3 linked regions of the Drosophila melanogaster genome follow. The protein of the gene in region 2 purifies or fractionates together with the protein of the main gene of each other region. This does not show direct contact. Each region holds a gene or a part of one and is shown on either strand. Other genes may lie near its edges. The genes, in order: Syp, Hexo2 and U2af50.

Region 1 (8,021 bases), on a different chromosome or scaffold from region 2:
GTATGGGGGTCGCGTAGCGCACACAAAAGCGCTTTTCGGTTTACGACTACTCCGTATGGCATTTGTTCTTGCCTCTGACTTTTTGGGCACGTTTTTGCTCGGCTGGAGGATGCTATAAATTTAGTCGAAAAACATGCAAATATATATTTTACATATTTGCTTGAAAAAGGATTGGATAGATTGCTCATAACTTTTGTCTAATTAATGAAAGTGGGAGCCACTCGACAGGCAGCGGCGAGAGTTTACAACATTTGCGAAAACTTCTAAGGGGTGGCAATTTGTATTTGTATTTGCTTTAAAATAGTGGCTTACACGTAGTTATACTTCGCAATAGGTAATCAACATCTGTAGAATGTATTGTCGACGAACTTTGTTATAAACCAGGGTATCCCGAATTTCAATCCCCAAAACTGGCTTTATTTGTGTGTGCTTTTTTTTCTGCAACTACTAAAGTTGGCTTTCCACTTTCTACAACTCTAGCTCCGACATCGACTCCTGGGGGCATCTTTGGCAGCCATAAAAAAGCATGCCATTTTCCTCTCTGGCAAACTTTTGTGTAATTTTCATTTTGTGCTTGTCGCGTGCCTCCTATTTCTCCAACTCGCCCAGTCCCAGCCCACTTCCTTCCATGAGCCGGTGGCTTTATGTACTGTTGCAGGAACGTCGTACCTTGTTTTTTTACTACATATTTTTGGCAGTTGCACAGCGCAAATACCCACGGACACGGATAGACACAATGCCTCAGTCTGAGCAACTGTTTGTACATACTGTCCGTACTGTCCGTCCGTTCGTTTGTCCGTCTGTCCGTTGTTGTCGCTGCCGCAATGCAGTGAATTCGGCAGGACCCCAAAGTTTTGGCCTGGCCAACACGTGACTGACCTCCTCGAATGGGATGACTTTCTGGGGTCACGGGATGTTGGGCGCCATTTTCATTTGTTGATGCGGCCGGGCAGCTTCCCTGCACTTTTGCGGCCACAAAATGTGAGCATCAAATATTGAAAACACTTCTCCGGCCCCGGGGCTGCACAGTTTATGACCGTGGCTGTGGGACCCCAGTGACGTGGCCAAAAAGAGCTTTTTTGGCAGATATTGCAACGACCAACCCGCCTGATTGGTTTCTTGGCAACAAAACCCCACTGAACTGCCACGAACTTGTTTCTGTTTACTGAAATAAACCCGACTTGCAACTTATTGCCATGTTATCTTTGATTTTGGCATCGGGTCCTAAAGAATATGGTGTTCGCTGCAGCCCGGCCACGTGACTATATTAAAGAGCTTGGGATGAATTTGTTTAAATGTTGATAAGATATAGAAAAACAAAAATTATCTGATGGAGGTAAATAAAAGCAGGGGAATAACCTTAAATAGAGACAACCTCCTACGTAACACACATCTTAACGTAAGGGTATGATAGGAATTTCTTTGAAGAAAATTTACGATATTCCTTTTGTATTAAATTTGAATGTTTTCGCCAATGCATTTAAATAGATATGATTGAAAATAGTTGGAAATCTGTAATTAAAAGTAGAAATCTCTTTTCCCAGCGCCTAAAAGCAGGCCGACATCCCTGTTTACACCAGTGCCGAAAAGTAGGCAGCAAATCCTTCGGATTGCACTTTAAATGAAGGTCCTTCAAATATTTCATTAAACTTCTTCTGTAACCCCCCATAAATTACAACAATTTTCATTCATTTAATATTCACCTAAGGCCGGATAGCCATCCTTTCTTCCCTGCAATCTTCACCGTTGTCTGCCGCCTGCAAGGCGCTTCCATCTAATTTGCTTGGTTCGCCTGCACTTTGCAGGGAATTTGTTCGTTGTCGCAATGCCATAAATTGTGCAACTTATGCGGCCAACTGGCCGCCTTCTCTAATACCCCATCCCATCAACCCCCTTGTGGGGCTATAAATTACAAGAAGGCATTTGCCACACTTCCGTTTGGGGGCCTTCATTCAGGTCTGCTGCACTGTCTGCACTTTTCACTTCGGCTAGTCTGGAGTTATTTTTGTGCCTTAAATCGGCTTAACTGGCCTGGCCGGCGGAGTTGTAGTTGCGGCTCAGCTGGGCCCGAAGGGTTCTGAAAATCAATAACCCCCAGCAAGGTTGTGCTATAGAGAGCCCCATTGTTGTCGCCGTTGTCCATGGCAATAACATTTAAATGGCTAGGGCTTCTTGAAATTCAAATTGCGAAAGCACAAACTTTAACACTTCCTCAATGCCACGGCGAGCAACCCCTGGACTATAGCCAGCCGCCACCATCCTAAAGATACTCATAGTTTCTGCAGTCTACAGTCAGTCTGGCTTCGGTTGACAGAAACAGGGGCGGAGTTGCCAATTTGCCATTGGGGAGATCTTGTAATTCTAGACCAGACTGCTGCCGGCGGCGACGTATTGTCTGGCAGACGGACGCGAGTGACGAACAAATGTGGCAAAACGATTTATTTGGCTTTATCAGCAATTTTTGATTCTCCTTTGTCTCCCATTGAAAAAGCGCCGCATTAAGTGCTCCGCCTGCGTTTGCGGCGATTTGTCATATCGCTGATTTACTAACCTTACACCAGGCATTATCTCTTGGCAAAGGAGGCCGAATCCGAATCCGAGTCCGGAATGGCGGGGGAGAGGTGGAATCCGGGGCGAATCACCCCTGCTAGCAGCTAGAGGGTGACTTTTTCTGTTTTTTTTTTTTTTTTTTTTATACAACCGAGGGTGTAACTAACCGACACAAGTGCAAGAAGGCAGGATATGCCAGGATATGCATGTGTGTATGTATGGCTGGCTGTGTATGTTTGCGCATATCGCCGGCATCAACATCAAATTTATTGAGGTAGTTGCCAAGCGGCTCTGGCAAACAAAACGAGCATGCAAAAAGGAATGTTCTTTAACATGCAAACGTTTCTTTGTTTTTCCCCCATTTTAGCCGTGCTTCTATTTTTTCTGTACGAGTATATGCATGGGACAGAGTTGCCACCGCTGGGGCAAACAAGCGGCGACTACCCTGTTGCCATAACAAACATGCATAAAAAATGATGACTCGGGCTGGAAAAAAAAAGCACACACACAGTCCGGCAAGTGTTGCAAATTGAAAGCGGTTTTAGGCCAGGAGCCGTCACCTGAATAGCTTTGAGTTCGGGAGACCCAAGAATAAAGACTTAAATTGGCTGTGGTATGTGGCCAGTCATCCTGTTTTTTTTTTTGTTCAGTATGCACTTCCATATGCCATAGAAGCATTAGCATGGCAACTCAGCGTATAAGGAATACCATTTTATCGATATTTCACTGCAATCCTAATGGAATTTCCTGCATTGTTGTCTACTCCTTTCGACTGGCTCAATATCCATTGCCCATGTGTTTATTATTCATTTACTCGCTGTGCGCCGATAAAGCGCTTTTCCTGATTTTCCCGCCTTTCTCGCATCGCCAGCGCAACTTCATGACGCTCCCCCGGTGTTTGCCCTTTTGTGGGCTTCCCTGCGGTTGTCGCCAACACTTTTCACTTACAGCTCGCTGCGTTTTCGCGCCCAACAATCTAGATATACATACATGCATATAAATACATAGTATTTATGTGTTGGAGGGGCCTAGATAATGGGATATGTTTTTGTTGTTACTGGTTGACTGGTTCCGCTTATTGTTATAGTTGTCATAGCGCACATGGCATTCTGATGGCCCCACTGCAGTTGTCATAAATTTGTGGTCTTAATACTTGCACCACACCATTTTCAGGATTGCCACCTCAACAAAGTGGGTTCGGTTCGGTAACCCTTTCTAAATATCGATGCGTAGTTGGCCCTGCTGGGCGATTGTCAAAAGTTATTCCGTAATGTTTTTTGTTTCTATTCAGTTGTGAAAATTTTTCTCGTCTCTCGAATCGTTTCGGAACTATTGATTTTTACTTCAAAAATAAGAAAAAGCGAAAACAAATTCATTCACATTTGCAATCGAAATTCCAAGTCGCCTAAGGAAATTGAAAATTGTTAAATTGTTGCATTACGCGATGCTTTCCCAGATGGAAGCCTCCAAAGTGCAGAAGGATGAAGGGGGCGGCGAGGCTCTGAGCCGCACGATCCTCAAAACACCGTCTTCATTCAGGACCCCCAGCCCAATTCCCAGTTGCAGCAGTGAGTATTCCACGCCGCTGCAAAACACCCAATTGCCCCCGATATCAATCGCAAAGTATTTCAATGTCAGCGAAAACGAATCGAATGCCGGAGAATTAATGCGAAATTCGCAGAATGCCAGTGGAGAGAGCAGCAACAAACAGAAAAGATTTTAGAAATGTTCGGGTTTGCCCATAATTTTTGTGGGTCGCGCTCTATCGCTGGTTTGGCTCTCCCATTCTTGAACGATAGAGCTAGCTGATATTGCTGCTGTTTTTTTTTGTTTTTGTTTTTTTTTTTTTGCACATGTTACGCAATTATCGCTCTCGGCTAGTTGGGGTCCCTCGTTTTTATTTTTGCAGCTTGCTTCGTTTTTGTTTGAACGTCAAACACACACAACTTTCTATATGTATGTATGTACATACACATCGTACATATATATAATATACATACGAATATACGTGTACACGCGAATCAAAATAGCATTTGCTGATAGTGTGGCTGCTAAGGTAGCTTTCTATGCTGCGGCCTGTATAGGTGAGCGTTTGCCACTTGACAACTGTGGAACATTTGCATTTTCATTATGAGTGTGCCATAAATATTCATTTATGATAAATGCCTGTGTGCAGCTGCGGCTGCAATTGCAACGAAAGCGAACAGCTCTTGTTTCCGCAGCTCAACTGAATTTAGCCACGGAACAGATCATAAATAAATGTATTAGGCTGATTTAACATAGCAAATCACGTATACTACTACTTTTAGTCAATAAAACTACTAATACTAATCCAAGTCTAAAGTCCAGTAGCTTCAAACACGGCAAAAAGTGAACCCACTAGATTCATCAGCTGTTACCAGGGCAACTAATACGTCACGCTCTTGTGAGCGTGGCCGAACACATCGCGTATACGCAACACGTCACGCACAATTCGCAAATCGCGCCTCTTTTCGTTTGTTTACATTTTGGCCAATACGTTTTCATGCGGCTCCCTCTTTCTCTTCTCGTTTGCCTTTCTCCTTCTCTTGCCTTTCTCACGCACTTTTCGGTGCTCGGATGCGCGCTCTTCTGGATCGCAAATTTGTGCGTTTCGCATTTGTTTGGAGTCAATGAACTTTGTTGCTCGCTTTGTTGTCTCCTCTCTCTCCCATGCTCCCTGCTTTATCGCACTCCCCGTTTATCTCATTCCGCGAGTGCGTGCGACGGTGCGTAAGTTGCCAATTTTTCGTATTTCTCGTATTTCGCACATTCTCGCGACCCATTTTTTACCAAGCGCTCGCCGTTTGTGGCTATTTTGCGTTCGTTGAACTCTACAAGGTGATTTTATAGGTCGCACAATTTGTGGGTGCTCACTTGAATGTATGTTTCAAGAATATTAATATTTATGTATAAATACTCAATATATATTTATAACATTTTATTATCGTTGCACTTGCAGAAATGGCGGAAGGTAATGGCGAACTGTTGGATGACATTAACCAGAAAGCCGATGACCGTGGCGATGGCGAGCGTACAGAGGATTATCCCAAGCTGCTGGAATACGGTCTGGACAAGAAGGTGAGTGCTTTGAGAACCCAACACCACATGCCAACTATTACCAACATTTGCCACATGCAACATATGCTCCTAGGTCGCCGGCAAACTGGATGAGATCTACAAAACCGGCAAGTTGGCTCACGCCGAGCTGGACGAGCGCGCCCTGGACGCGCTCAAGGAGTTTCCCGTCGATGGTGCCTTGAATGTGTTGGGACAGTTCCTGGAATCGAACCTGGAGCACGTGTCAAACAAGTCCGCCTACCTATGCGGCGTGATGAAGACGTACCGACAGAAGAGTCGAGCCAGCCAACAGGGCGTGGCCGCGCCCGCAACTGTCAAAGGTCCCGACGAGGACAAGATCAAGAAAATCCTCGAGCGCACCGGCTACACATTAGATGTGACGACAGGTGAGAAACATTTTCAAGTACTGGAGAAACTTTTATCTAATACTATTACTTATACCGTACTCAGGTCAGCGTAAATACGGCGGACCGCCGCCGCATTGGGAGGGAAATGTGCCAGGCAACGGTTGCGAGGTTTTCTGCGGCAAGATACCCAAGGACATGTACGAGGACGAACTGATTCCGCTATTCGAGAACTGCGGCATAATCTGGGACCTACGACTCATGATGGACCCGATGACGGGCACAAATCGTGGTTATGCATTTGTCACATTCACAAATCGCGAAGCGGCCGTCAATGCAGTGCGACAGGTATTTAAGCCAACCACAGATCATCCATACCACCAACCACCAGTCCAGCCCAGCCCAGCCCACCTGAAAACCCAGTCTCCCCAATGAAAACCCCACCCCATCCGACCCTGACCACCAAATCAGTTTGATCCCCGCTTCAATGTTTTTACGTATTGCTAACTCTTAAGACCTATACAAATATCCTATATATATACATATTTAACGTATTGTATCCACATATTTACTATCGTGTTATAACACATCGGATGAAGTAGGAACAGTTATGCGGCCAAAGCAAAATTCAAATATTTGAAATTCTCCACAGCAAGAGCGAAAAATTACCGATTTGATCACAACCGATTTGGCGCTTTTAGATCCGACCATGAGAAATTCTGCAATTCCATTTAGTTTTTAACGTATGCTTACTTTACCTCTCTGCCTTTGCTATTAAGAATTCGAACTATGGGCAACGCTATCTGTCTCACTCTCTCGCTGTCTCTCTCTACTTGATCTTTCTGTAACTTATGTAATGCATGTCCCGTCTCCTATGAGTTGTAATCTTGATTTACGCAAACGAATCTCTACAGCGCCCTAAAATCGTTCAAATTGCAAGTTTGAAAAGAGTTCTCTCCTCTTCGAATAAAAGATTTGGCCTCCTCCCTGATAAATCACACAACCCCCTACCCTCCTCTCTCTCTCTATCGTCTCTATATCTGTTCTACTTCCTTTTTAGTTGAATTTTCTCTTGTCTTAAGCTCAGCTATGTAGCTATCAACTTTTGTAGACAACTTAGCAGCGTACGTTCAAAAATCTCACTGTCTGGTTTTATTTAGACGAGCATGACCAAAAATCTAGACCATGATATTGGGAGGCAAGACACGTTGCCTCCATATATCACCTGCCCTAACCAGTTAACCACTAACAAAATGTTTTTCCTTTAACATTTCCAAAACGACACTCAACCGAAATTCAGACCACGCGGCCCGCTTCAAAATTGGTAACGAAAACGATAAGATTTACAAATCCGTATATTATTATTTAACCCATTCCCCTGTTCTTATCTACCTTATTTGCCTTAGTTCAAAATTATTTACTTGTTATGATTTTATTATTTATTTATTTATTATTAACATTGAATTGGTATTAAAACGAATCGTTTTACCTTCCCTCCCACAATTTAGCTCGATAATCACGAAATAAAACCCGGCAAGTGTCTAAAAATAAATATAAGCGTACCGAATCTGCGCCTTTTCGTAGGCAATATTCCCAAGTCAAAGGGCAAAGATGAAATTTTAGAGGAATTTGGTAAACTTACAGGTAAATTGACAAACACAAAATTAACCAAAACTGTATTTTAAATTACCAACACTGGAGCTGCTATCCGCCACTCCGCAATCGGCACTAAATTGTAAACAAAAATCCAATTGGCTATACCAACAAACAACATTGGCTAATTGCAGGGAAAAATACTACAATAGTTTGTTTACTAGGCTAGGTTAGGTAGAAAGGGTCGTAGGGTTTTCTTTTTTTTTTATATTCCGTTCCGCTTAATTTATATGTCTTTGTTTTGAACTCATTCCAACTATTCACCCCCACCTCAACCATCCAAACATCCGCCATTGCCATCTCGACACTTCAAAATGAAAAACTGAAAACCGAAAATTAAGAATTGAAAAGTGCTCTCCCCCGAATCAAAAATTG
Region 2 (8,481 bases):
ACCCGCGATCCGAATCAAAATCAGTAGCACTTGCGACGAGCTGGCGGTCAAAAGGGCAAAACCATAAACGTCACCGAAAACTCACGCACGTGTGTAAAGTGTGAAAAACGCCGGTAAGTGAGAGCAGCGACGTCGACTGCGACGGAGGCGTAGACGCGGCTGACGTGTACCAAACAAAACGCGGTAAACAAACTTGTCCGCTTATTTTTATTTGTATTTGGATACTCTTGCAAAGGGTGTGATCACTTAGACATTCCGAACGATCTAATGTCTATATCCTATAGCTCTTAAGGCAGTATTAATTAATAATTAATTAAAAAGATAATCATATAAATGCGAGGGTATTCAAGCATCAGCAAGCAGCCTGCTCACGTTTTTTTTCCAATTGCTATTTTCTTTTTTTCTATTTTTGTTTTTCACCGATTACGCCGTGTTATCGCCGCGCTGAAATAGTTTAACTCGTTACAAATAGCAGATCGCGATCTCCGGCAGCGACAGACACACTTTGGACACCACCACGATGAGCACCTTTCCCAGCTTCGCGGACATTTCGGCCAAATTCTCGGAGGCGACGCTGGACGAGATCATCCGAAACGCGGGCGGCACCCGGCACACCTCGTACAAATTTGGCCCAAGTGGCAAGAAGGGCGACGCCTATCTGAGCCGTGTCTTCCGCATCACCATCTACGGCGTCAAGGAGGCGGAAGAGGGCCAGGATGAGAAGCAACTAGAGATCAGTGTGATCGTGAAGGCCATGCCCGACAATCTGCACCGTCGGCGACTCTTCCGTTCGGTGATATTCTTCCGCAACGAGATCAACTTCTACACCAAGGTGTTGCCGGCCATCGAGGCATTCCAGAAGTCCCGCCAGCCCGCGCCTAAGAAGCCCTTCGTGGAGTACCCCCGCTGCCTGGCCAGCCTGTGCGATGGCGTCAACGATTTCATCGCCCTGGAGGATGTGGGTCCCAGGGGCTACAGGGCACCTGTACGGTTAGTTTATTCCTCCTCCTCCTCCTCCACCCCTTTCGTATGAAATCAGCTTTCTATAAATAAGTGTAACTACACTATCTGTCGACTTCCCATACAATAGATTATTTCAATATCTACCATTAATACCATTAACCCTTATTGATTATAAATTATACAACTACATTTACTTCAATTACCTTACCTTACCTTGCAGTCAAGACTACATTTCGCTGGAAGATGCCCTGCTGACGATGCGGACCCTGGGTCGTTTCCATGGCGTGGCCCTGGCCTTCAATGCCCTGGATAGCAAGAACTTCGAGAAGGCTGCTGGTTCGCTGGAGGAGACCTACTATGGCGAACACACCCGCGAGTGGTACACGGGCTTCCTCCTGCTGGCGGAGAATGTGGCCACGGACGCCGTCAAGCAGATCTATCCGAATAGCAAATACGAGACTGTGGCCACAAACTTCCTGCAGCCGCCGCTGTTCGATGATCTGATCAATCTGGTGTCCACTCGCTCCAAGTTGAGTGTCTTCGGGCACGGCGATTGCTGGACGCCCAACTTTCTGACCAAGTACAACGAACGGGGACAATCGGAGGAGATCATCATCATTGATTTCCAGTTGGCCAGGTGCTCCTCCTTGGCCCTCGACCTGAGCTTCTTCATCTATTCCTGCACTAGCCAGGAGCTGAGGGAACAGCACTACGATGAGCTGCTCCGCGCCTACCTGGAGAGCGCCCAGGATTTGATTCAGGATCTCGGTGGCAATGCAGAGTCTATCATCTCCTGGGAATCACTGCAAGAGGAGCTAAAGAACTTTGGTCGCTTTGGTTGCGGCATGGGCATCGAATCGCTGCCGATGACGATGATGGAGGACGATGAGGTGGCCGATCTGGATGGAATCAAGGAGAACGCCATTCTCACCGACATCTGGAATATCACACCCTTCAAGGAGTCCGCCAAGCAGCAGCGACTGGCTGATATCTTCAAGCACGCCATCGATCAGGGCTACATTAAGTGAGCTCATTAATTTCTATGATAAAATCGAATTCATATAGTATTGGGTATTTCGTAATTGTAACCCATATAATGTACAAAACGTAACTCCAGATAATTAAAAGCATATTATAAACACATTTTGGATTGGATTAAAAACAGATCTTTATGGGCAATAACTGATGAATAAAATAACATAGTTTGAAAGGTATGTACATGGTATGTGCTGGTGCTAAAACTAGGTTCGGAACGACCGATTTAGAGGCACTGTCCTTCGTGGAGGACGCACCAGTGCGGAATAACTGCATCCGCATGGATTCCGCGCGCCAGGAGTCGCTCCCGGTAGCGGTAGAATCTTCTTTGGGCCAACAGGGCTGAAGACTTTGGATTTGACCACATTCGCTCGGCTGCTGCTCCAGCTCGCGGCCAGATTCGGGATTCTGTAGGGGATTGGATTGGGTTTAATTAAATGGGTTTGGTTCACCGTTTGGTTCCCTAGCGTTTACATACCCAGTGAGTTCTGATCCACATACTCGCTCCACATGCACACCTCACCGCCGAGAACCTGATCCTTGCTGCGACCAACGGGCATGCCACTGGAGTACACGGTGCGCCAGTTGTAGTACGATGTGCTGCCCCAGAAGCCGTGATCCAGGTACCAGGCATTCTTCGTGGACACAATCAGTCGGTAGCCTCGCTGCAATAGCTCCCGATTGAGGGCATCCTGTGACTCCACCCATGTCTGGATTATGAACCGCTCCTTGGGCAGGTAGGTCTCGATGTACCGGGGATTGGTGAGGTGACTGGACCAGATGATCACCGACTTCGGCTCCTTGATGCCCGGATACATACGCTCGTTAATCTCGTCCCATGCATTGAGGTTCCGCTGATGGAATTGCGACCACAGCCGCAGGAAGCTCTGCTCGCTGAGATCGTAGCCACGTGCCCGCATCCCATCCCGAATCTCGTCGGTGTTATTCCAGCAGGGAAGGAACACCTCGTCGCCGCCCATGTGCAGGGTCTCCTCGGGAGCGCCCACCTCGGCTACGTCCTCGAAGATCTCCTTGAGCACTGCGTACATATGATCGTTCAGGGGATTCAGTTGGCCGCACGGTGGCTGTACACAGAATCTCCTCCAGGGCGATTGATTCAGGCACACGGACATGTTGCCCAGTCCGGCGGCAGGACCCCATTGCCAGCCATTGCCCGCATGCGAGGGTCCATCGATCTCGATCAGTATCCGTATGCCCCGCAGTCGGGCATATTTCACAAGATTCAGTGCATCCTGGCGCGAGTACGTCTGCGATGAGGAGTACGCTCCGTAACGCTGCATCTCCGGCACCCTGGTGATCTCCAGCGGAAAACTGTGCGTGTCCACCACATGCCAGTGGAGCACATTCAGCTTACTGGCCGCCATCGCATCCAAGGTGCTGCGTATAAACTTGAGCGGCACAAAGTTACGGGCCGTATCCAGAAGGACGCCGCGATGCGAAAAGGCCGGACGATCGGTGATGTTGGCCGTGGTGACCATCAGCAGGCCATTGGACAGGCTGCCGGTGACCAGGTTGCTCAGCGTCTCGAAGGCATGACGTGCACCGTACACCGTCGTCGCTTGGATGTCCACAAAGGTGGCCGTTTCAGTGGTTCGCACCACCAGGGCGTAGCTCTCGTCGGTGGGCCAGTCCAGAACGAGGCTCTCGTTGGCCACCGTGGATCTGACCAGAATCTGCTTGCTGGTCTCCAGCGTGCAGTTTCGTATGCACTCCTTCAGCAGATTCGAGACGAACAGCCGGTTCGTCTCCCTGAGAAACTGGGTGGCCGCCTCGCCGGGCGCCACAACATGGAAACGCACCTTCCACGGATCGAATCGTACCCGCCTGTGCGATATGGTGCACTCCTTGCCGGTGGGCATGGGCCAGATGGCTCCGTACTTGCCGCACGACAGTCGGCAATCCCGCTGGCTCTCGAAGATCTCCGGCGCGTACTGCAGTCCGGCCACCATCTCGCCCTCCGCGGTGCAGATATCCGTCCGGCTGCACAGCCATTTCCTGGAAATTCGGAAGATATTGCTATAATAAAGCTAAGTACATATATATTTAGATACATAAAGCAGATTTCACTTTATTTATTGCAAATTCTTTTCAATAATATATGCAGCTGCATAGAAAGTAGTTCTTATTCTGTCGCTTTGCCTTTTGCACTTGTTCCCTTTACGAAAATTGCACTTGGAGCGAATGCAAATTAACATGTAAATGCATTTGGCACAGTTAAATTTTCACCTGTTTTCTTCTGTTTGTTTTATTTTCTAGTTTTTAAGACTGATTTCACTTGTTGCTCTCAGTTATTTGAGGAGATATTGGATATCCTGCTGAGCATAGACACCAACCATTTGTTATCCGTTGGCAGTTTTTTAAAGTTCTCTTTTGTAGAATGAATAGATTTCCTTTAATATATTTAAAAGTAGTGGACTTTTTGGACTTTTTTTCACTAGTCTGCTGAGCGCATATAACACTTGAAATTTCATTGAAAATAAAGAACAGTCAGTTTTTTGTATTTTCACTGCATTTTGTTAGCAAAAATTGTTATACTTCCAAAACAAAACATGTATTTAAAAAAAAACTTGCACTTGTTGCACTGATTTCCTTTATGAAGCAAAGACACAAACCTGCTGGCGCTGCCGGCGTCGGCGTCGCTGCCGACGTCATCTGCCCGCGTCAGCGCAGCGCCGACCGCGAAGGATAATAGGGATAATAGCAGCAGCGATCCAACAGCAGAGCAAAAGCACTGATAACGATTGTAGCCGCTGAACCGCATCGTTTCTTTCTAACGGCTTCTTTGGCTGCGCCGCTCGCTTTTATAATTTCTGTTCGGTATTTGCTATATTTGTTGTGTTAGGGGGGTGTGTACGGTGTATTCGCTATTTTCAACCGGCCGCCCACCCGCTCCGCTCGCCGAGCACAACAACACTGAAGAGCTGAAATCGAAAAAGCGAATAAAATAAATCCAGCGAAATTTCACTTGCAGCGCAGTAGCGGCCGCAACAACAGCAATAACAAGTCGAGCTTATCGTCAATTGAATTGAAGAGAGTGCAAGAGCGCGAGAGAGCGCGGATTGAAATTACACTGCGAGAAACGCCAAGTCCTTGCATTACACTGCTACTCCACATTAATGCTTGGCAATTAGATTTTACAGCTTTATTAAATGAGCTTCCCTATACTAACAGGACACTTGATGCATGAAGTGCCACGTCTTTTCTGCCTGTGTAGTGCTGTGAAATCAGCATATCTCCCACTCTTTGAAGCAAACCCCACCCCCTGGAGAGTGGCCCACATACGGAAGTTGTGGGGTGAGTGATAAAATGGAAAATATATACATACATATGTATGCATGTATGTATGTATATGCGGTGCAAGAACCGCAGCAACAACAATAATCGTGGGCTTGAAAACTGCCAGCGTGCAAAACACCAAAAAGAATTTAACTAAATCAACCTAATTCTTCACAAATTTCGGCACAAATGCAGTTAAGAAAGCCAGCATATTAATTAAACATAAGTACATACACACATGTGTAGTATGTAGATACATGTAGTATATGCCAATTGAACTTGCAACATTTAAGATTCCAATAATACATCTCGAAAATATTATTCAAATGAGTTTCCACCCTCGAGGTAAACAAAGCAGCAGTTAATTATAAACAAGATAGAACGGTGTATCAATTTTCAGTTAACACAAATAATCAAAAAATTATTGTTTATAGTAGATAGATAAACAACTCAGCAATGGGGAATGGAACCACCGTCTTATCCCTCCAAAGATACACAACTATATTTGTGCTTTTTTAGTATTTATCATTTGTTTCTGCGTCGATTTTTCGTTGAGTTTTCGCATTTGATTCGTCTTGTATTATCATGTTGTTGCACGTACAGTTGAGGCCGTGACTGTAAGGCAAAATAAAAGATGTATTCCCTTAGTTGAAATGGGTAATGTTGGGTAATAAATTTGAATGCATTCATATAAAAACTCTGCATGCACATTACTTTAAATCCATTTAATTGGCTTAATAAGTTAATTAAATCAGTGACAAATTGATTTGTGTACCACTCAGCCAAACTGATTTCATAGCAATATGAGTAAGAACATTTATTTTACTTCAAATTAACAACGAAGTGAACATATTGCTAAAGCAACTAACTAACTAATCACTTTCTTAATAAATTTATTTACAAAACATCTACTTGTTTTAATCTGGAACATAATTTTAGTCGCGAAACGCGCTGTTGTTCCACCCTCATTATGATTTCGATAAAAGCTTTGAAGTTGAAAACAAATGAAAAAAAAAAAAAATGGTGAAATAAAAAACATTATTTGTGTGTGCGACTGGGCATTGTTGATTATTATTTTATTGTATTCGGCATTCGCACATCTAGTTCTTGTATGCGCCCATGCATCTCTCTCTCTCTCTCTCTCTCTTTTATTAATAATATGTATTATTATGTGGTCGCTGGCTTGGATTCCAATTCCAATTCCATTTCCATTTTAATTCCATGGGCGCCTTTTGTGCGCCTTCGAAATGAATTTTGAATTATGCGATAGCGCCGCCTTCGCTCTTTATTCTTTTGCCCATTGTTGTTGCCCGTGAGCATGTGTGCGTTTCTGTGTTTAGAATGTAAAATTATAATAATTAAAAAGAGTACGTGCGAGTGCTGTAATCGGGCGGTTGAGATGATGGATGCGGGGATGTTGGCTGAAGCGATAGTTGCACATTACGATTCCCCTCACTCACCATTCAACACGATCTCGAAACTCACCACGACTTTTCTCGAAATAATCCGTGCACTATCTTTTTCGTGCTTCATTGAAGCCACAAAACTATTGAATACGCACATACATATTTCAAAACTAACAAGGTTTTGAATACTCACCACTTTTAAAGGTAGCTGGTAAGTTAGCTTTCCAACATATTTATATAACAATAACAATAGTAAACGCATTTTGATTATATTTAAGTGAACAAGATATATACCTCATATGTGCACTTCTCACGCGCTCATCCCCAGGATTTCACACATGTGGGCGGACCAAATGAGTTTTGCCCAACTCGGACATCAGGTCCTGAATGGAAATCAGCAGGCGGAGGATGAGGAGGAGTTGGGGCAGGCTGCGGGGATTGGATGTAGACATGGTTATGGATATGGGAAGGCGGTAGACTCTATGATGATGAGGAGCTGCAGCTGTTCCTGTCGCTCCAGGACAATGCAGATGCACAGATGCGTCTGCACTGGGAAAAATAAGGTCAAAAGAATTACTGAAGCTTTCTAAACCGAATGGCTAGCTATCCGATTAATAACAATATTATAAATTTTAAGTCTTAACTTAAGTTAAGTGCTCAAGGTGAAATGAAAAGTAAACATATTGGGCTTTTATTTCGAGTGCATTCAAATGGATGGGGGGGGGGAGGGGGTTGGGGGTTCATCGCCACTGATTATGATGTTGATTACATTGCGGCCTCTTCCTCCCCTCACCTGGGCCACGCCCCTTTTGCACAGAGAGAAAATATTGTTAGTTCATTTCATGGATATAAATTATTTGCATTTAACTTTATAATAGCAACTCAACAAAACCAAACAAGAACCTGATGATTTTAGAAATATGATGATTATGATTATGATCTTAAAAAAATGATATGAACTTTGTTTTCTCTGCACGACTTTGGACAGGATGCAAGTGCCGAGTCCGTCAGCCGCTAGGTTCTTCATTCCGTTTGCGTCAGTCAGCGCTGACTGCCACACACCCCCCCCCCCTTGTGTGCCACGCCCCCCTCATAGGCCACGCCCCTGGATGCTGCTGCTTAGAACAATGCAAGATTAAAAAACTGTAACAAATTACAAGCAAAACGGCAAATAAATTACACAAAAAACCAAGAGCTGGAAATGAAAAAAAAAAGAAAACAAAATAAGAAATAAAATAAAATGAAAGGAAAAAAAAGTAAATCAGCAGAGGAAATGCAAAACAAAAAGCAAGCGCAAAAAGTTGCAGCTACCGAAGAGGGGTTTGGGCAAAAGGGGCGTGGCTGAGGTCAGCGGCCCTGGGGGTTGTCATATGATTCCCAAAATGGGGGTGGGCCGGAAAATTGGGCGTTGGGCATGTGTGGAAATGCAAAGTTATAGGAAAAGTTAATTTGGGTTTTGTGTCTGCGGGGGGCTATTGCAAAAATGGCTTTGTCCTTTGGCCGATTAAATCAGAGTTTGTTGCAAGGAATGCACTTGGATTCTCGAAATATTTATTGTTTTTTAAAAATATTGTTATTTCATTCGTGAGTAATATATTTAGGGACTATTAAAAATGTAAGCTAAGAGTATAGTAAACTAAATAAATTAATAAATTCAGTAAATTATATATAAATTATATATATTTTTACCTATGGGACTCTTGAAAGCGTAATAAGCAGGTATCTAATAGTCGAGGTTTTCGTATACAGGGTATGCGGTATAGGTGGTTACGAATATCGA
Region 3 (6,940 bases), 7.6 Mb from region 2:
TTTTCGGAGCTGTTGCCTCGCTCTTTGAGTCCAACGATCCGGGGATTATTTTCAAGCTGCAGATACAAACGCCAACGATGCAGAATCCGTTTGTGATTGGCTTCGACAATCAGGAGACGGCGTACGAGTGGATAAAGGCAATCCAGGAGGCAGCCCTTATCGCCAGTCAGCTGGCATCGGAGAGGCGGAAAAAGGAGCGCACTGCCCGGGTGGCCAAGGAGATGTCCGATCTGATTATCTACTTCCGCAGCGTGCCGTTCCGCGAGCACTCGTGGATATTTCAGGAAATGTCGAGTTTCCCCGAAACGAAGGCCGAAAAGCAGTTCTTCCAGCAGAACACACAACTGTTTCTCTCCTACCATCGCAATCAGATTAGCCGAGTGTATCCGAAGGGTCAGCGCCTGGACTCGTCGAATTTTAATCCCATGCCATTCTGGAATGTTGGATCCCAGATGATCGCACTGAACTATCAGACAGGCGATAAGGCCATGCAGCTGAATCAGGCCAAGTTTCGGAATAATGGACAATGTGGCTATATCTTAAAGCCATCGTTCATGAAATCTGACAGCTTCAATCCGAACAATCCGCTGTGCGATGGCCTAAGCGAAGTTAAAGTTAGCATACGTCTGATAGCCGCACGTCATCTATTCCGGGGCGGCAAATCGAACAATCCGCAGATCGTGGTCGAATTGATTGGCGCTAGCTTTGATACGGGCGTTAAGTATCGCACCAAAGTCAATGAAAATGGTTTCAATCCGGTGTGGAATGAATCGTGCGAGTTTAACGTGCGTAATCCACAGTTTGCGATCCTTCGCTTCGAAGTGCAGGACGAGGATATGTTCGCCGAGACGCACTTCATCGCCCAGGCGTGCTATCCGCTGACCTGCATTCGCCAGGGCTATCGCAGCGTCATCCTACGAAATAAGTTCAGCGAGGAGCTGGAATTATCGTCCCTGCTGATCAACATTAAGATAGCAAATGTTACCGCACCGTAAGAGGATTGCTGAGTTAGCTGGATCAATATCAATGATTCCAAATCGAGTGTTTGCGAAAACAATTGCGCTAGATCAAAAGGAAAGCGAACTTAATTCGCAAAAGCAATTTATCAACAACTTGTACATAAGAACATTTCATCGAACTATGAACCTGATTCTCTCACTTGTAATTTGTCTAAAAAGCTTAGGATCTGAAACGTATGATTTAGATTTAGATTACTTTCTATACACATCAGCAGTTATGGTTAGTTCATACTATACAATGAGTATTCAAATGGTAACAATGAATTCTGAACTCCTGGAACTGAAATCAAGTTTATGTAATCCGTATAATTTGTACACTTTTCCATAACACTAAGCATTCAAGTCTGTTGTCCTCTAAATGTTGTATTTGTGCGTGAGATTGATTCAGGAGAATAGAATGATACGAATATGTTTTAACTATTCGTCACCTCATTATAAGCATAAGCAAACCAGATTTGATTTGATTTCGATTTAGGGAACTTGAGCTATTTCCATTTTACCAGTTTTACCATCAAAAGTTAAGTACATTAAGTTGATTCCAAAATTAGAAATAGAAACAATTCATAAACAGCTCAATTGGCATCAATTTAATGGGCATTTGATATTCAGTTTCAGGATCAGCTTTTCATAAGTATTATATTACAATCTTCTTAAAGACTTTTAACTGAAGAAAATAGACCACTTTCATATGTTATCTGGAAAACTATTTTAGACCTTTCTCTTAGCACAAATACTCAAACAGCATTTCAATCATTTAGCATTTACCTTTTTTATTTTCTCTTTTAAAGCTTAAAGTAATAATACAATTTATAAAAAAAAAAGGGCAAAGGAAATTTAAACCACTTTGATTACATATGTCTTCCAGTTGTTTAACAATTACGATATACCACATAATTGTGTCTATGTTATTTAACCACGATTGTTGTAGCTAATGTTACAAAAACTAAAAGTTTGCAAACAATATTAAAATAAAATGTAATTATTCAATTACATTTAAATGAACGTGCCTTAAAATTCGAAATGATCGAAATTTTAAATGTTTGAACGTTAACTATTGAAGTACACCTGTTGCTAAAATAACAAATATTTGAAAAATAATAATATAGCTCAAAGATATCTATTTTTTATAAAATCAAAGTTCTAACTTAGCTTCTTCTCTAAACTGCGAAATCTAAATATCTAAAGCCTAAGTTCAATAGACGTATTATTACTAAATGCATTATATAATTTATATATCTAGATATTCATAAAATGCACTAGTCGATTTAAGAAGTGGAAATTGTGCTCCCTATGCGAATCATTTAGGATTTTAATCTGAAACTATTTGCATTCCATACGAATGCCCCACTGAAACGATCGATATCATTTGTCTTGCACTCGCATTTAATTATTTAACAAACATTCTGCTGTTTCCATTCGCACAATAGTTCTAATTTGGACATTTTGCGCGTTTGAGCGCATTAGCAAATCATGCTTAGTATATATGTATGTGTATATGTACCCAAAATGTATTTCATTTGTACGTTCCGTTTTTAAGTGATTTGTATCTGTACGTCTAATAGATATTTTCAACTGTTTTTGTAATTGCCTTATAATTCAGTAAACACACACCATACGTATACATTCATAATTATTTAATGCCAAATAAATGTTTATCCGGCGTTAGCTGTCTATATATATACAAAGTTGTTTCTATATGTTGGATTTCTGAGAATTGAGGAAGCCACCGAATGAAGTAGTTATGTTATATACCCTTAAACTCACGTACAGTTTCAACCCATTAGAAGCATTTGGAGTTTTCGTTTCCAACTTCCGGCTCACAATGAAATAAGCGACTATCCCTTTCTATTTCATGGTATCTTCGTATTTTCGTAGTCAAAATTTTACTTTTATTCTGATATTTATTGGACAAATGGTGAATGTGAGATATATGATTTACTTGTATCTAAAACTCGCGTCTGTGGTATTTGTCGGGATCGAAATATGATGTGACCACAACGCGGTCGCTGAATTTACGTCCAGTAAGTGCTTGCTGCGCCTTCTGACAGTCGAGAACCGAGTTGAATTCGACAAAGACCTTGCCGCAACCGGGAACTTCGACGCCCTCGATGGGACGTGGAATTTCCACGCTCCGCACGACTCCGTATTTCGTGCACTCCTCCTTGATGTCCTCCAAGATGTCCTCGTACTCCTCCTCGTCCCGCAGTTCATCGGGCGTGACCATGTTGAGCAAGCAAAGAACCTCAGTCGGCGGTCCAGAGGTCACCACATTGGACAGGCCCGGCACTTGGAGCATTACGGACTGCGTGGTGTTGGCCGCGTTCTGGGCATTCTTGGCGCCCACACTGGCTCGTTGGACAATCAGTTTTTTGTCACCCAGCTGCATTCCATTTAGGCCAGCAATCGACTACAAATTTTATTAGGAATCGAAAGAGAGTTAGAGTTAAGATTGTGTTTGTTTGCAATTTTGAAGTAGTTTCGTACCTGATCTGTGATGCTAAGATCGACATATTCACAGAAAGCATAACCCTTACTCAACCCAGTAGCGGCATCCTTAACCAGGTTGAAGGCTCGTAGCTTGCCAAACGACAAAAGCAGTTCCTTAACCTACAGCAGCAGAAGATACAAATGTTTATGAGAATTCGAATGGAAACGTTTCAATGTTGAACCAACCTGATCGTCATTCAGATAGTTTGGTAGACCTCCGATGAAGATTTTGTGAGGCGAGTCCGGAACCACTGTCGAAATAACTCCACTGGAAACTGGAATGTGGAATGGTGGTTATTTGATTAGACCGTGTGCCAATGAAAATTAGGATATTTGTTTACTTACCAACAGCGGGCTTAATTGCCGGCGTATCTGTTATACCCGGCATGGGCTGGTAATCGTGCGGACGCCTAATCTTTAAGCTCTGCCCCTTCAAATTGATGCCATCGAATGCCATGGCCTGGGTGGTTTCATCAATCGATCGGAATTCGAGGAAAGCAAAGTTTTTGTCCAAGTTAATTTGGCATGCCAAGACGGGACTGCCGGCCGCCTGGGCGAGCCCAACTAAATGCATCTGTTGGTTGAAGAACTCCATCATTTCCTCCTCGGTGACGCCAAACGGAATGTTGCCAACGTACAGGCGACGCGCCTGTCGGGTAATTGTCGATCCGACCACGGGCACTGCCGTTTGTGGTGTATCCGGCACAACGCTTGCCGGGATTTGTCCGGACGCCTGCATGGCTTTGTATTGCATCGGGGTGATGTGCTCGAATCCCGGCGGCGGTACATCCCAATAAAGCGACGGCTTGCGCCTCGAGTTCCGGTGATGGCGTCGATCCCTGGAGCGTTCGCGATGGCGGTCCCGAGAGCGGGAACGATGTCGGCGTCTCTCGCGATCGCGTTCACGGTCTGCAAATACGATAGGAATTAAATATGTTGATTCTCCAATCGCTATTTTCGCAAATGTGTCCCGTCCCTGTCCACCTCACCCAGGAAGAGCACACAAATTTAGCCATACACACGGGCACACGCGCATATGTAAGCCATGAACAAGGACACATTTCGGTGTATGGTGTATGGTTAGAAGCATTTATGGTCATAAGAACTCGCCTTTATTGTCGATATTCACATATTTATCTTCAAAATTCATTTCCATCCCGAAATGCACTGTATTCTATTAAAAATAGACTCAAAACTCAACGTATGTACGTATGTATGAATGTATGAATGAGCGAAACATCGAAATAGAAAAAAAAACAACCGGTCTAGAATGAATGCGATTATTAACAAAACCCTAATTCAACAGACCTTTTTTACATATAAAAAAAAATGAAACAAGGAGCAGGCTGCGTTGCCGCGATAAACAAATTCAGTTGCACATTTTTCACTTTCTTTGCATACATTTATAGTTGTATGTATGTATGCATACATATATATACATAAACATCTATTTATGCACACTTGGGCATCAAATTCAGTGCGGCCCTTTACTTGCTCTCTTCATTGAACTCACCATCATATCCCATTCTTGTTGCTAAATAAAATTAATATTTCTTAACACGAAAACAATTTTAACTCTTTAAAATGCCGAAGAAAAATGTGTCCCTCTATTGCGTATATTAACGCAAATATAAAAGAAACGACTTAAAAAAGAACACGTGAAAACTGAGAAACAATGGAATGGACCACCGATAGCCGAGGGCTAACAGTGCGACACTGGCAGTTTCGAAGTGTCGTTGAACGATTTATCGACATAAATTTCACTTGTAGGGTGTCCATTACTGCAAAATATTTATATAAATTATTATACATAATCATACATAATAATATAATAATAATAATATACATACATACATAAAAATACACGCTTAAGCGACATCTGACATATACGATTCTGCAACTATTCTGTACTCCCTAGTTTGTTAATCAACAAACGGTGACGTCACACTCAATTGTATACCACCTTCTCAAGCATGCTGTATTTGTTTTGTTTTGATTGAGAGAAGAAATACCGGTGTTTTTGTCAGTTAATCGATTATATTATGAGCATTAAGATATATTTACCGGTCAACTATTATTACCTCAATAAGTCAACCAATTTGTACGGCCAAGTGCAAATAAATGAAGATAATGTCGTATCGTATTACGTGCTGGAAGCATCAGATTTGGAGTTCAGTGACAAGGCCATAAATCATGAAAAGGGCAATCTGCGTTTCCTGGGCTCTATTCTCAACGAGGATTTCAATGCGGACCAGAACCAATTTCTTAAGTTCAATATGCGATTGTGTTTCACATACAATAGCAGTCAGGCGAATATAACACTGGTTTATTTGGGCATTACGCCCGAATATCTGAAGCACATTAAAGTGATTCTCTACGACAAGCAAATGGTACGAAATCTGTTCGTATCTGGTGAATCTGAAAATAGGCGATCTTTGGAATACAATGATAATGATAGCACCGATTGCGACTTTCTGGAGCTCTCTAGACTGAATCAACCAACTGCTGACAACCAAAACAAGGCAAACAATAATGCCAACAAGAGTATCCAATATGGCTTAACACTCATTGCCGATTCTCCAATTAAGATATTCGAATATATGGCGGAAAATGTATTTATCAACAGCATTATGGTTCACACAACTATTTATAAGCATTTCAAGGAATGGCAGACAGCATGTGATAAAAGGTAGTTGGGTTAAATCGATGATGCTAAATATCATATTACTATTACTTAGTTTCTATCAAGCAGATCTCGACCGGCTAATATAGTTCTTGATAGAATACTGGGGATTATATTGATGCTAATACTATTTACGCTTGCCACACAGCCTGGTGATTTTCTAATACAAATATCTCATGTATGTCCGCCATACAAATTTGATTTTACATATGTGACATTAACTTATTGCTTATCTATTGTAGTACGTTATTGACGAATTGTACGGCCTGTTGAAAGTATTAGAGGGCAGTCCCATTGGCCTCAAGCTAAATATACATTTAAATAATTTCTTTCTCGACTGCTTCAAATATCATATTGAGCTGTGGTCAACATTTTTGGGTAAGCTTTTGGGTCTACTTAAATGCATGATAAGATTGATAACATTGTTCTCTTACTACAGATTTCATTGAACCTTTAGTACGACAAGTTTTCTTGGCCATTGGAATGATTGGATGCTTGGGTTTTACATTCCAGATAGCCTTACTAGTGGACTTAATATCCGTTATTGGCTTACATTCACATTGCTTCTATATTTATACCAAAGTGTAAGTTTCTGCAATATATATTGACCGCTTTCAAACAATAATATTATTTTCATAGCCTCTACAATGTGGAAAGAAGAGGTCTTTCTGTTCTATGGCAAGTGGTTCGAGGCAATCGTTACAACATTTTAAAAGGTATGTTTTAAGGTTTTTGCCAATCTAAGCACTAT

The links.
Region 1: the proteins of Hexo2 (region 2) and Syp purify together in Drosophila melanogaster (affinity purification with western blotting, with the first as the bait; one study listed by BioGRID). This does not show direct contact.
Region 3: the proteins of Hexo2 (region 2) and U2af50 purify together in Drosophila melanogaster (affinity purification with western blotting, with the first as the bait; one study listed by BioGRID). This does not show direct contact.

The regions. Positions count from the first base shown.
Region 1 is NT_033777.3:20,786,215-20,794,235, forward strand, and holds the start of Syp (syncrip), read left to right. Parts: upstream 1-3,771; 5' UTR 3,772-3,994; coding exon 3,995-4,118; intron 4,119-5,530; coding exon 5,531-5,649; intron 5,650-5,722; coding exon 5,723-6,035; intron 6,036-6,099; coding exon 6,100-6,341; intron 6,342-7,501; coding exon 7,502-7,637; intron 7,638-8,021.
Region 2 is NC_004354.4:8,706,108-8,714,588, reverse strand, and holds Hexo2 (hexosaminidase 2), read right to left. Parts: upstream 4,938-8,481; 5' UTR 4,781-4,937; coding exon 4,632-4,780; intron 4,015-4,631; coding exon 2,477-4,014; intron 2,407-2,476; coding exon 2,225-2,406; 3' UTR 2,111-2,224; downstream 1-2,110. Other genes in the region: CG2004 (uncharacterized protein), read left to right, coding at 521-990, 1,184-1,991.
Region 3 is NC_004354.4:16,353,792-16,360,731, forward strand, and holds U2af50 (U2 small nuclear riboprotein auxiliary factor 50), read right to left. Parts: upstream 4,663-6,940; coding exon 4,617-4,662; intron 4,416-4,616; coding exon 3,852-4,415; intron 3,782-3,851; coding exon 3,693-3,781; intron 3,627-3,692; coding exon 3,504-3,626; intron 3,427-3,503; coding exon 2,965-3,426; 3' UTR 2,905-2,964; downstream 1-2,904. Other genes in the region: sl (small wing), read left to right, coding at 1-995; PIG-Q (phosphatidylinositol glycan anchor biosynthesis class Q), read left to right, coding at 5,549-6,195, 6,259-6,367, 6,432-6,567, 6,629-6,773, 6,829-6,905. UniProt on the Drosophila melanogaster protein: Necessary for the splicing of pre-mRNA. Binds to the polypyrimidine tract of introns early during spliceosome assembly.